Linked DNA regions of Sus scrofa. The protein of the gene in region 1 interacts with the protein of each later gene in a pairwise test. Links are inferred from orthologs where the notes say so. Each region holds a gene or a part of one and is shown on either strand. Other genes may lie near its edges.

Evidence for each region.
Region 2: the proteins of PGBD1 (region 1) and SCAND1 interact in binary tests that used the Homo sapiens proteins (3 or more experiments, as listed by UniProt). The two-hybrid records come from large-scale screens. The link is inferred for Sus scrofa from reciprocal best matches to the Homo sapiens genes PGBD1 and SCAND1.
Region 3: the proteins of PGBD1 (region 1) and ZNF496 interact in binary tests that used the Homo sapiens proteins (3 or more experiments, as listed by UniProt). The two-hybrid records come from large-scale screens. The link is inferred for Sus scrofa from reciprocal best matches to the Homo sapiens genes PGBD1 and ZNF496.

What each region holds. Positions count from the first base shown.
Region 1 is NC_010449.5:22,132,200-22,136,645, forward strand, and holds the start of PGBD1 (piggyBac transposable element-derived protein 1), read left to right. Parts: upstream 1-1,578; 5' UTR 1,579-1,689; exon of another isoform or gene 1,690-2,940; intron 2,941-3,543; exon of another isoform or gene 3,544-3,546; 5' UTR 3,547-4,026; intron 4,027-4,446. Other genes in the region: ZSCAN26 (zinc finger and SCAN domain-containing protein 26), read left to right, coding at 1-106.
Region 2 is NC_010459.5:39,243,822-39,246,833, forward strand, and holds SCAND1 (SCAN domain-containing protein 1), read right to left. Parts: upstream 1,576-3,012; 5' UTR 1,371-1,575; coding exon 831-1,370; 3' UTR 635-830; downstream 1-634. Other genes in the region: CNBD2 (cyclic nucleotide-binding domain-containing protein 2), read left to right, coding at 1,576-1,926. UniProt on the Homo sapiens protein: May regulate transcriptional activity.
Region 3 is NC_010444.4:57,052,233-57,056,329, forward strand, and holds the start of ZNF496 (zinc finger protein 496), read left to right. Parts: upstream 1-1,184; 5' UTR 1,185-1,515; intron 1,516-1,703; 5' UTR 1,704-1,932; intron 1,933-3,817; 5' UTR 3,818-4,097. UniProt on the Homo sapiens protein: DNA-binding transcription factor that can both act as an activator and a repressor.

The DNA.
Region 1 (4,446 bases):
CAACGAGGAAAAACCCTATGGATGTAAGGAATGTGGAGAAGCGTTCCGGCAGAGGTCAGGTCTTTTTCAACATCAGAGGTATCACCACAGAGATAAACTGGCCTGATGCGGTGTCTTCTGTGGACTGTCAGAGACAGTGCATTAATAAGCAAGCAGCACTTTAGGAAAGGTCACTCTAGCAGAGAACTTTTTGGGGCCAAGTTGGAGGCTATCTACTTCTACTCTTTCTCCTTTGTTTTCCTTGTAGTCGGCTTTGGACCACAATAATTTGACGCTGGGTGGTGTGGGATCAAAGGTAAACAGGCGTTCTTACCGCAGGACTTCTCAGAGCCTTTAATGTGGTAAATGCATATTTGTATATCTCCAGGTAGTAGAGGGCCTCATGAACTATGGCAGCAGACTCCTATACGATAAAAGCAATGAGCTTTGGAAATGTCTCACACTCAGAGGGATCTTAAAGTGCAGGTCAATGTGAACATTTACCCCACTGGCTTTACTACCCTTCCCACCCCCAACCCCCAGTCAGCAGAAGCATTTTGGAAAGCAAAGATCATCTAATTTTACCATTTCCCAGCCCCATCTCTGCCATAACACCTCACTGATTCAAGTTAGAAATTACAGTTTCATTTAGACTATGGAAGAGATCTCATAAGTCATTTAAATGAACTGGGCTGAATTAATCTAAGTAGCAACTATCTTACTTGATAACTCCAGTGTCAGTATAGTGGTTGCCACATAGACTCTATTCAATAAATGGTTGGGGGAAGAAATTGGACTTTTTTCCTTTAATACTGATGGTGTAATTTTAAAATATTCCTTGTTTTGGAATTTTGGAAGTCAAATAATAAAGTCAGCTTGGAGGAGGTCATGATCTTCACATTGTAAATGCCAAAATGTTAATGGTAATGAATATTGAGCTTTGGGGAGTCCACTTCTGAATACATCACTGGGGTGATTGGTTAACACCACTTGCAGGTTAGTAAACATCACTTGCTGGTTGGTGGTAGTTGCTTGGGATACTGCTGTCTGGAAAAGACTTTGCAGTCTGTCATGCTGATGGAAAGACTGGTGAACCCTCATATTTTACTAAAGTCTTGGTTCTGCTGCATATAGTTTAAAAAACAAAAGTGGGAATGACTTAGTAAAAGTTTGTTTTTCTTTCAGATAGGAAAGGCCAGAGACGAGCAGTCCAGGAATGGTAAGGTGGATCCATGACATCACTAGGGACACCAGTCTCTGCCATCAGCCCTTAAGGTTTACCATGTGATCCTCAGTGACTGCTGAAGCTCCAGCTATCATATGCAAAATGTGGACAAAAGGAGATTCCTCCTGGTCAGTCAGTTCCCTTTGAGCAGCCTTCCCATAAATAACTTCAGCATGTATATCGTAGGCCAAAATTTAGGAAAGGGAAGCTGGAGAGTGTCTTATTCTGGGTTGCAGAGTACCCAGCTGAAAAATCAGTCTTCTGTCACCAAGAATAAAGGGGACAATGAAGGCTGAAGTAAGGGCTTAGGAGTCTTTGACCCACTTCCCACTACACTCTGACTGGGTGCAAGCTGATCAGAAGCAACAGTTAATACCATTTTTGGGAGGAGGACCAAATCTGCAGGAGAAGCAGCTGTAATTTTTTGAGTATTTGAAGAATTTCTTGAAAAGTCAGTCATATTCCATCGCTTAGGAAGCCATGAGGTATGTATCTTTTATTCTGCCTTTATCAGTAAAGTTAAGTGGATAACGGGAATTTTTCCAAGAGTTTTGAGGGGTTTGCTGAGGTCAGTGAGTAAACATTTAACTCCAGATCAGTTTAAATCCATTGGATTCTGTTCAGTTTAAGGAAAGAACATGGAATATCTTTATTATTCTCATTAGAAAGTAATAATTAGGAGTTCCCATTGTGGCACAGTGGTTAACGAATCCGACTAGGAACCATGAGGTTGCGGGTTCGATCCCTGCCCTTGCTCAGTGGGTTAACGATCCAGCGTTGCCGTGAGCTGTGGTGTAGGTTGCAGACGCGGCTCGGATCCCGCGTTGCTGTGGCTCTGGCGTAGGTCGGTGGCTGCAGCTCCGATTCGACCCCTAGCCTGGGAATCTCCATGTGCTACGGGAGCGGCCCAAGAAATGGCAAAAAGACAAAATAAAAAAGAAAGTAATAATTAAAAGATTCAAAGTATGAAGGCTTATATAACAAATATCTGGAAAATTTATTTTGACTTTATCTTTTCATGATGATTCCATACTTGGAGGTATTATAATTATTCTAAGTTCATTGACACTTTAACCTAATTGTTCCTTTCAGTTCCAAAGGAGGTGGTTTTCTCACCTATACCCTGGGGCCAGACCCATAGCCACTTGGGCATAAATGTTGGATAGAGCTATATTTAAATAACATGTTTTCCTTATTTATTCTTGAAAACTGGACAAAGGGCAAAGGTTATAACATCTTGATTCAGGTTGTGCTTGTAGTATAAGACATCCTAAACACACTAAAAGACAGTTAAATTTTTTTTCAGAGGCAGAAACCCAAGAAACCCCAGCAGTGTCTTGTCTTGATCAGCCATTTTTTTTAGGTCTGCTTTTTTTTTTTTTTTTTTTTTTTGTCTTTTTAGGGTGGTACCTGTGGCACATGGAGGTTCCCAGGTAGGAGTACAATTGGAGCTGTAGATACTGGCCTACGTCACAGCCACGGCAATACCAGATCTGAGCCACTTCTGCACCCTATATACCACAGCTCATGGCAAGGAGGATCCGTAATCCACTGAACAAGGCCAGGGATCGAACCTGTCAGATTTGTTTGTGGATACCAGTCAAATTTGTTCTGCTGAGCCACAACAGGAATTCCCTAGGTCTGCTTTTTAGAGGAGTGAAAGAATGTTTTTACTGTCAAAATTGAATCTTTTCACTTGTTAATAAGTGAATTCTGATTAAACATGTTAATTCTGATTTTGAGTCATTATGTTCCTCTTAGCTGTATTTTTCTGTTGGGTTCTCAGTTTACTCTTAAATAGTAGCACCCTTAGAAATTAAATAGGGGAGCTGTATATCAAATGCGCATGCTCTTTGACAAATTAGTTCCAACGTGTAGGATTTATCCTAGAAATATAAACGCATGCGAAGATGTTCAGTGGTGGTCTCTACAGCGTTTCCTATAAGGAGAAATACAGTAGGCATAGTTAAGTAAATTCACTCATACAGTGGAGTACTAATTAGCTGTTAAAAAATAAACTGGCATGGAAAGATTGCCAAGGCATCTTAAATGAAAAAGATGAGGTGCAAAATTTTATTGTGATGCCATAGGTGATTTAAAATACACACTTAACAAATGTTTACTGAGAGCTACAATGTGGCTGGTAGTATCCTAGGAAGGTATACACGAAATATTAAACGATAGTAAACTCCGAAGAGTGGGACACTTTTCGTTTTGTAGTCTATACAACTTGATTTTTATTGTGCATATATAAGCTGTATGTTTACGTTTTAAACATTTGCGCTGCTTGCTATTATGATGTTTAGTCATCTGTTCTCCGCACCGCCCCCCCCCCCCAGCAGCCTGTGAAGAACTTAAACTCAGTTTTGCCTTCATCATCTAGTTGGTTTTTAATCGAAACGATTGCGTAAATGCGGGGATGAGGGGAGGGATGAGGCTGACGGACTGAGCCAGCTTGGTGGCGGCAGGAGGGGTCGGCTCGAAGCACCAGAGAGACGAGCAGCCAGGTTCCTAGAGCGGACGGAGTCGGCGCGCGGTGACTCGGCTGCTGGAGCGGCGCGGGGAGAAACCTTGGAGACTGGGCCCCCAAATCCCGACGGCAGGAAGCCGGGATGTGCCGGCCTCCGCTGTCCACTTCGGGTCCGTTAACCCCCAGTTAGACACGCACTTGCCGAGTGCCTGCTGCATGCCCAGCGGTAAGTGCTGGGGAGAAATACGTTCTGGGCCTTCCGGAGGCCCTGGAACTGGCATCGCAGTACAGCTACCTGTGTCTGACAGTATTGGCTGAATACCTGATACACCCCCGACAAGACTCTGTAGAGGTAAGTACCTGGCCTCAAGGAGCAGGGATGATAAGCTGGTGATGAAGGGGGTGTGCTCTGTAACACGGGATGGAGCGGGAAGCAGGTTGATGAGGCAGGTTTGGGCTCACTTTTCCGTGGAAATGCCTTCCCCCTGAGCAGCTTAAAGGGGAGAAGATTGTACATCAGGTTTGGGGGTGGCATTTGCACTGGGGTCCTTGGGAATTTACCATTAGAAGACTGGTACTGGCCATAACATACAAGGTAGGTAGAGCAAGTTTGGTATCAGCTGGCACTGACAGGCATTTGGGAAGACCATGGCTTTCTTAGAGGTTGAGTCTGTCTTTTTTAGAGTTATGCCTGGAAAATAATGACGTGCTCAATAAATGTTTTTCGAATGTTAATACATTAATGAAAGTCGGTTAAGATCAGATCCTGAGG
Region 2 (3,012 bases), on another chromosome or scaffold:
TGCGCAGAGGCCTGCATTCAGATTCAGATCAAGAGCAAGAGTTTGAGGACCGCCCTTCAGCTGATTTGAATACACACCTTATCAGATACTAAGGAGGAGCTACTTCTCCCAGGAAGGAAGAGGCGGGCCTTTCCAATCCCACTTTCCATGGATGATAAAACTGGCCCACAGTATCCTCCAGGGTGAAGCTTGCTCACCTGCCCGCTTGCTTCTCTCACAAGCGTCCTATCCTAATAAATCTGTTTCTTGCCTATTAAAAAAAAAAAAAATAGCCTGATGAATTGGGCCTTTGGGGAAGCCAGTGCCCAAAGGGCAGGCAGGTGGGACAAGTAGTTTGGCAGTATTGATACAGCAATGGCCACTTAAACGAGTATTTAGTAGAGCTAACAATTTGTCTGCACCATCCCACAGTCATAAGGTAAGACTATAACCATCATCTACCCTCTTAGGTAGGAAAACAAGCTCAAATTCCAGCTAGTGAGAGGGTAGAGCGAATACGGAACCCAGGCTGCTGGACCCACATTACCAAACAAAGGAAACCCAAGTGGGGTCCTAGGGAACGCGCAGGAGAAAATTTCCCAGATGTGGAGGCCCAAGCCTAGCCAACCCAATGATTCCACAAAACCTACGAAGGTCAAGTGAATAAGAAAGGCTTTATTCTCATGAGCTCCCAACTTGATTTCGCCACCAGTCAGAAAGGTTGGAAATAGGCTCGGGGAAATAAACATTGCAAAGGACGACCGAAAAGGACACTCGAGACTGCAGGAACAGCCAAAACTCGTTTTTCATTAACGCAGAATGGAGAGCCGGGCCGCCGGCAGCCCGGCTGCTCAGCCTGTAATGCGTACGTCTGTGCGGCGGCGAAGCCGCCGGGCCCGCGCCGCCTCGGGCAGGATGGCGAGCAGCTGCTCTTGCACCAGCATCTCCACGATCTGCTCCTTCGTGCGGATGTCGGGCCGCAGCCACTGGCGGGAAAGCTCCCGCAGCTGCCGGAACGCTTCCCGCGGGCCTGCCGCGTCTTGGTAGCGGAACTGCCGGAATCGCTGGCGGAACGTCTCTGGGCCGGGCCGGGAACCGCCAGGGCCTGGGGGTGAGCGCGGAGCTGCTTCGGCAAACGACGCGGAGCCCAGGGCTGCGGGCCCGAGGGGCAGCTCCAGGGAGGCGGAGGCGGCCGAGTGAGGCGTAGGATTCTCTTCGGCGACCTCGGCCTTGGGGCTGGAGGGCTTGGGGGCAGGCGGTGGGGCCTCAGGAGTCGAGAAGGAGTCCGCAGAGTCACGCTCCGGGCCTGAGCTCGGGCCGGCCCCTTCTTCTTTCCCCAACGGCAGCGCGAGACTCCCGGTAGCCGCCAAGCTCAGCTCGGTGGCCGCCATAACTCCGCTACGGACGTCACTCTTTGTCCCGCAGCTGAGGGCGCGGCACTACGTCTGCGCGGGGGCTGGGTAAGGAGGGAGACGTTTCCGCTAGAGGGCGGAGTCCGCGAGACCCTGAGGGAGGCGGGCGGGGGGCGCCGTGAGCTTACCAGCGCCGGCGAAGCGGCTGGGGCGGCCGGAAGTGGTCGTCCCCGCTGGCTTCTCTATGATGACCTCGGTGCGCGAGCGCCCGGAAGCCGAGTCTGGGCTCGAGGACGCGGCGCCCCCTCGCGTTCGCGAGTCCCGCCAGGAGGCGGCGGCCACAGCAGGGCACCCGGCTAATCTAAGCGTGCAATGGTCAGTTCGGGATGGTGGCGCCTCCGAGCACCAGTTCGAGGAGAAGGAGGAGGCGGGGAAGGAACCCGAGGAGGTGTCGGAGGATGACTCTGAGGAGGAGAACTCTGAGGAGGAGTTGGAGGAGGAGTCGGGGGAGGAGCCGGTGCCGGAACGCCTACTCAGGCCCAAGGAGGAGGGGCCCAAAAGGGTCATCATGCGACTTGGTGGCTTCGGCCGGCAGGTGACCTGCGCCGCCCCTGCCTCTGCATGCGCACCTTTTTACCCGACCCTAATTGGGATGAAGGCGAGCCAGAGCTCGCGGGGTCTGGGGCCCAGCAGGTGGCAGAGAAGGGACGGCGGGATGACTGTCAGGCATTAGGGGGAGGGCCCAACTCGGGAAAGTTCTTTCGCTCAGTCGAAAGAGGGCAGTACACCTGCCTGGTAGAGGGAGTGACACAGATAACGTGTGTAAGATCCTCAGCACACAGAGTAAAACTTGCCCTTCTCATGGCACAAAGTAAATGCTGAAGAACTTTTTTTTTTTTTTTTTTTTTTTGCGTGTCCTCTGGAATCAAGGGACAGGTGGCGCTGTAGGTTTTGCTTTTAATTTTAGGATTACTAAATAGACTAAATGTGTACTGCCATATAGTGGTCACTAGGTATGTATGCTTACCTCGTTAGTTCTTGAAATGTGGCTAGTCAGAAAGGGAATGTCCTGTAACGTGACATATATACAGGACTTGGTATGAAAAAGATAAAGTGTCGCCGTAATTTTTTCTGTTGTTACATGTTGGATTGATAATATTTTGCATATATTGAGTCAAATAAAATATATAATTCAGGATTTCCTGTCGTGGCTCAGTGGTTAATGAATCCACCTAGCATCCATGAGGACACAGGTTCGATCCCTGGCCTTGCTCAATGGATTAAGGATCCTGCATTGCTGTGAGCTGTGGTGTAGGTTGCAGATGCCGCTGGGATCCTGTGTGGCTGTGGCTGTGGCTTAGGCCAGTAGCTACAGTTCCGATTCGACCCCTAGTCTGGAAACCTCCATATGCCATGGGTACTAAATATATATATATATGTATATAAATGTCAAATTTCATGTGTGTCATTTTACTTTTTAAATGTGACCTACTAGAAAACTATTTTTTATGGGGGGGGGCGCACCTACAGCATATGGAAGTTCCTAGGCTAGGGGTGGAATCTGAGCTGCAGTGCCAGCCTAAGCCACAGCCACAGCAATGCCAGATCCCAAGCTGCCTATGTGGCCTACACCAGATCCTTAACCCACTGAATGAGACCAGGGATGGAACCTGCATCATCA
Region 3 (4,097 bases), on another chromosome or scaffold:
TGCAAAAGTCACAGAATCCAAGCATATGACTTATGGTGGCTCCCAGTAACTCTGATACTCAGAAGTGATTATTCATAATTTAGAGGAAGAAACAAAAGGTTCCCAACTCCATGGAATAAGGAAAGCAACAGCGCAAAGGAATCCAGTTCCTCAGTCGATCCACCTCTTTCTCACCTGCTCAGCCAGGCCTCTTTCTCTCTTTCGTGGAACTCATATTGCCCTGCTTGATCTGAGGGAAATCAAGATCAGAAGTGTATCCCTGTAAATGGTAAATTTCTTTGCCTTCTTTCCTGGGAGAGTCTAACTTCAGTGCTGGGCACATGAAGAAAGAGAAGGGTTGGTGGGAGACCCCAATACATTTTCTCCCAAGCTCCTGAACCTGGAAGATTAAGAATTAGCCCGGGAAGATCCCTCTGAGCCTTCAAGCAATGTTCAGTCTAGAATAGTGTGGCAGGTAGCCCTGTCTGGGGGTCTGGAGGCCCTAATTCTTCTCGCCCCCCTGACACTTGACTTCAAGCCAAAGTTGCTTAACTCATCCCTCTGTGAACAGCTAACTACACCCTACACTTAAGGGAGCAATAAGCACCCCGACCACTAACGGGGGACCCTCTGTTCACTCCTCAGGGTTGTCCTGATGCTCAGAAGGACGAATGACGCACAGCTGGGAAAGTGCAAATCCCTCCAAAGCCCAGGCTGACACCTTGAGCATCTGATGTTGGACTAAGCGGGGCGGCAAGACTTCCCTTCTCCTACCTTCCTCGCCCATTCAGCGGCCGCGGGCCGGACGCAGAGGAGGGGTTTCGGCTGGAAGAGGGTTGGGCCTGCCGGAGGGGGGGGGGGGCGTCACACGGGGATTCTGAAATGGAGCGTTCCACGATGCACCACAGCCTTTTCTCCGCCCCCCACTCCCAATTCCAGCTTTCAGCCTTGGCTCCAGGATCGACCCTTCTGGGCGTCCACAAACCCTTAGGGGAGTCCGAGACAGGAGGACAGCGAAGAGATAAGCCTCCAGACCGACCTTCCCAAACCGGTGGCGGCCCACAGCAGGACGCACCAGCGTGAGCCTCCTGCCAACCTTGTCCTCAGCCTCTCCACTTGGCCACCCGCTCGCGGGCGCGATTCCCGCCGCGCCTTCGACGCCCCTCCCTCCCGCCCCGCCTCGGCGCGCGTCCCCCGCGCGAGCCCGCGGGGAAGCTGGGCAGCCGTGGCTTGGCGGACCCACAAAGCCCCCGGCCAGGAGCCGAGCCCCGGGCGCGCGCGGAGCGGGGCGTGGCAGGGCGGGGCGCGCAAGCCGGGCCGGGCCGGGGGTGTCGGATGTCACCCCCAGCGCACACCTCGGCCCGGGGACGGAGGAGCGAACCACTGAGATGCGGAGACCTCCCCGGTCCTAGAGCGGAGCAGGAAGTGTCCCAGGGGAGGGAGCCGGAGGGCTTCGGCCTTTCCTTTTCTCCGCGTCCGGCGGGCTCCAGAGGCAGCCAGGCCTGCACGGCGCGCCAACTGGGACGCGGCGCGGCGGTGAGTGCGGCCCGGGCGGCCGAGGCTTCTGCGGCCCGCGCGCCCGCTCGGCGCCTTCCCGCGCGCCCGGCTCCGCGCTCCCAGGTCCCTTGGCTCCCAGCCCCGCGCGCTCCGGCCTCCCTCCCTTCCCCGAGCCGAGAGGTGAATCTTCGGGCAGGGGCATAGACAACACAAATGTTGTTTTTCAGGCGTCTCCATTTGCTCCTACTTCTTCCCTCCTAAGCGGAGCCCTGGTTTTCTGGATGAGCAGGAGACGGGGTCTCGGCTAGCCAGGAACAGTCTGGCCCTTGCAGAGAACCCGCCTCAGGAAGGACACCCGGGAGACCGCGCTGGAAGGATGAGGAGCTGCTGCCTAAGTCTTCCGCCGCAGCAGGAGGGATTTGAGTTAGACGCTGGGAAGGAGTTCCAGGCTGTGAGGTGAGGAGCCGGGAGCTGGTTAAACTGGAGGCGTGCATGGGTGTGGATGTGTAGGGAGGGAAGAGGGAGAGGGATCTGGAGCTAGGAAAAGCTTGCCCCTTTCCCTGGCACAAAATGCCCATCCCCTTCTCTTTCTGCTAATCCAACTCTGTCCTCCTTATAGAGCTGCTTTAAGTGCGCCCCGCCCCCTACGGGATCCTCCAGGGACCTACGTTAGTTCATTCATCAAGCTTCATTCCTGAGCCTCCTATGTGCTAGATGCCAGGGCGACAAAGAGGAACATGGCTTTCTAGTTAGGGACGATGGGCAGAGCTAGGTGTTTTAGAGTGGACACTGAGGACTTAGGGTGGGGGCACGGGTCCCCTAGCCCTGAGAAATCTAGGGCCCTGTAGGTGTGTGATGGCAGGGAAGGTGGAGTGGATAGGGCTGGGATTGGGTTTCAGATGTAGGAGCAAACACTGGAGGAAATCCATTGGTATTGGTGGGGCAAGTTGTAAGGTGTCCAACCAGATACCCTCAGAGCCCTTTCATACCAGTGTGCATTTATCTTTATGTTGGAGAGCAGAGGTCCAGAGGTTTGGGTTTTTCTGACTGCCATTTAGTGGCATTGTTGCTCTTCTAGCCTCACCTGTCTTCCTGTGAAATGGGAAAGAAGCCTCCATTTTGCACGGAACCCTTGGGGGATGGGTGGGGGCATTGAGCTGTTGGAGGTTAAGGGGCTGGCTTGCTGGGGAGCCTTATAAACCAGATGTGGAGAGTAAGTGACCCTGTCCAAGGATTTCAGAGGCCCGATGGTTGGGGAAGAGTGACCCCATTTGCCCTTCATCTTTTCTGGGACCCATAGTCTGGAATAGTGGCTGCTACTCTATGTTGTTGCTCTATATGTATTCACTGGGGAGGTAGAGGGGCCCCTGAAGTCGTGGAGGCTGTGCTCTGAGCACCTCACCTGTGTCCTGCCTAGGAAAGGCTGTGAGTTGTGCATGGTTTTTCTTATTGTAGATTGAAGATGACAAGAGAAGGCAAAGTGGACATCTTTAAGTACTAGTGTATATTGGAGTTCCCATTGTGGTTCAGTGGTTAATGAATCTGACTAGGAACCATGAGGTTGTGGGTTCGATTTCTGGCCTCGCTCAGTGGGTTAAGGATCCGGCGTTGCGGTGAGCTGTGGTGTAGGTCACAGATGCAGCTCGGATCCTGAGTTGCTGTGGCTGTGGTGTAGGCTGGCAGCTGTAGGTCCGATTAGACCCCTAGCCTGGGAACCTCCATATGCCACGGGTTCGGCTCTAGAAAAAGGCAAAAAGACAAAAATAGATAAATAAATAAATAAAAAATACTAGTGTGTATTTAAATGTTATTGTGTACCATTCAGACTAGTGAGTTGTGCAGAGGCTCCTCAGAGAGTACTGACATTTTTTTTAGTCTTTTTAGGGTAGCACTCGTGGCATATGGAAGTTCCCAGGATAGGGGTCTAATTGAAGCTGTAGCTGCCTGCCTACGCCAGATCCACAGCAACACCAGATCCGAGCGACGTCTGAGCGAGGCCGGGGATCGAACCTGCAACCTCACAGTTCTTAGTCGGATTCATTAACCACTGAGCCATGATGGAGACTCCAAGAGTACTGATATTTTTAAATGCATAGTGTTATTTTCTTCTAGTAAACTCAGGGTGTAGCCACCTCTTAAGATTCCCCATCTCTTGTCTGGGTATCTTCTCTGCTATCTGCTTCATTTTCTGCCTATCAGTGCTTACTCCACTGAGCAAGGCCAATTCTTGCTCTGTGTTGTTCCAGCACTGCTAGTTCACTCTAACTACTGCAGGATGAATTTCTCATCTGGATTCACTTTTGAAGGCTTTTCCTGTGCATGTCTGTCTTTGTCTTTCCAGCTCATTTTGTAAAGGTCTCAAGGACAAGGACGGTGACTTCGGCTCCAAAGCCTCAAGGTAGCGGCCTTCTCATCTTGTCCATATCAGGTCCTTTCCAGGAGGACCTGGCCACTGAAGGTACCACACAGTGTTAATTACATCTCTGTCCTGCATGTGGCCCCATTGGTCTCTTGGGTTGCTTGGAACACCAATGCCACATTGAAATGCAACTGCTTTTCTCCTGGACTCCTTGCCTTGTTCATCTGGTCACCCAGTTAGGGAAATCATAATGATAGTTTTG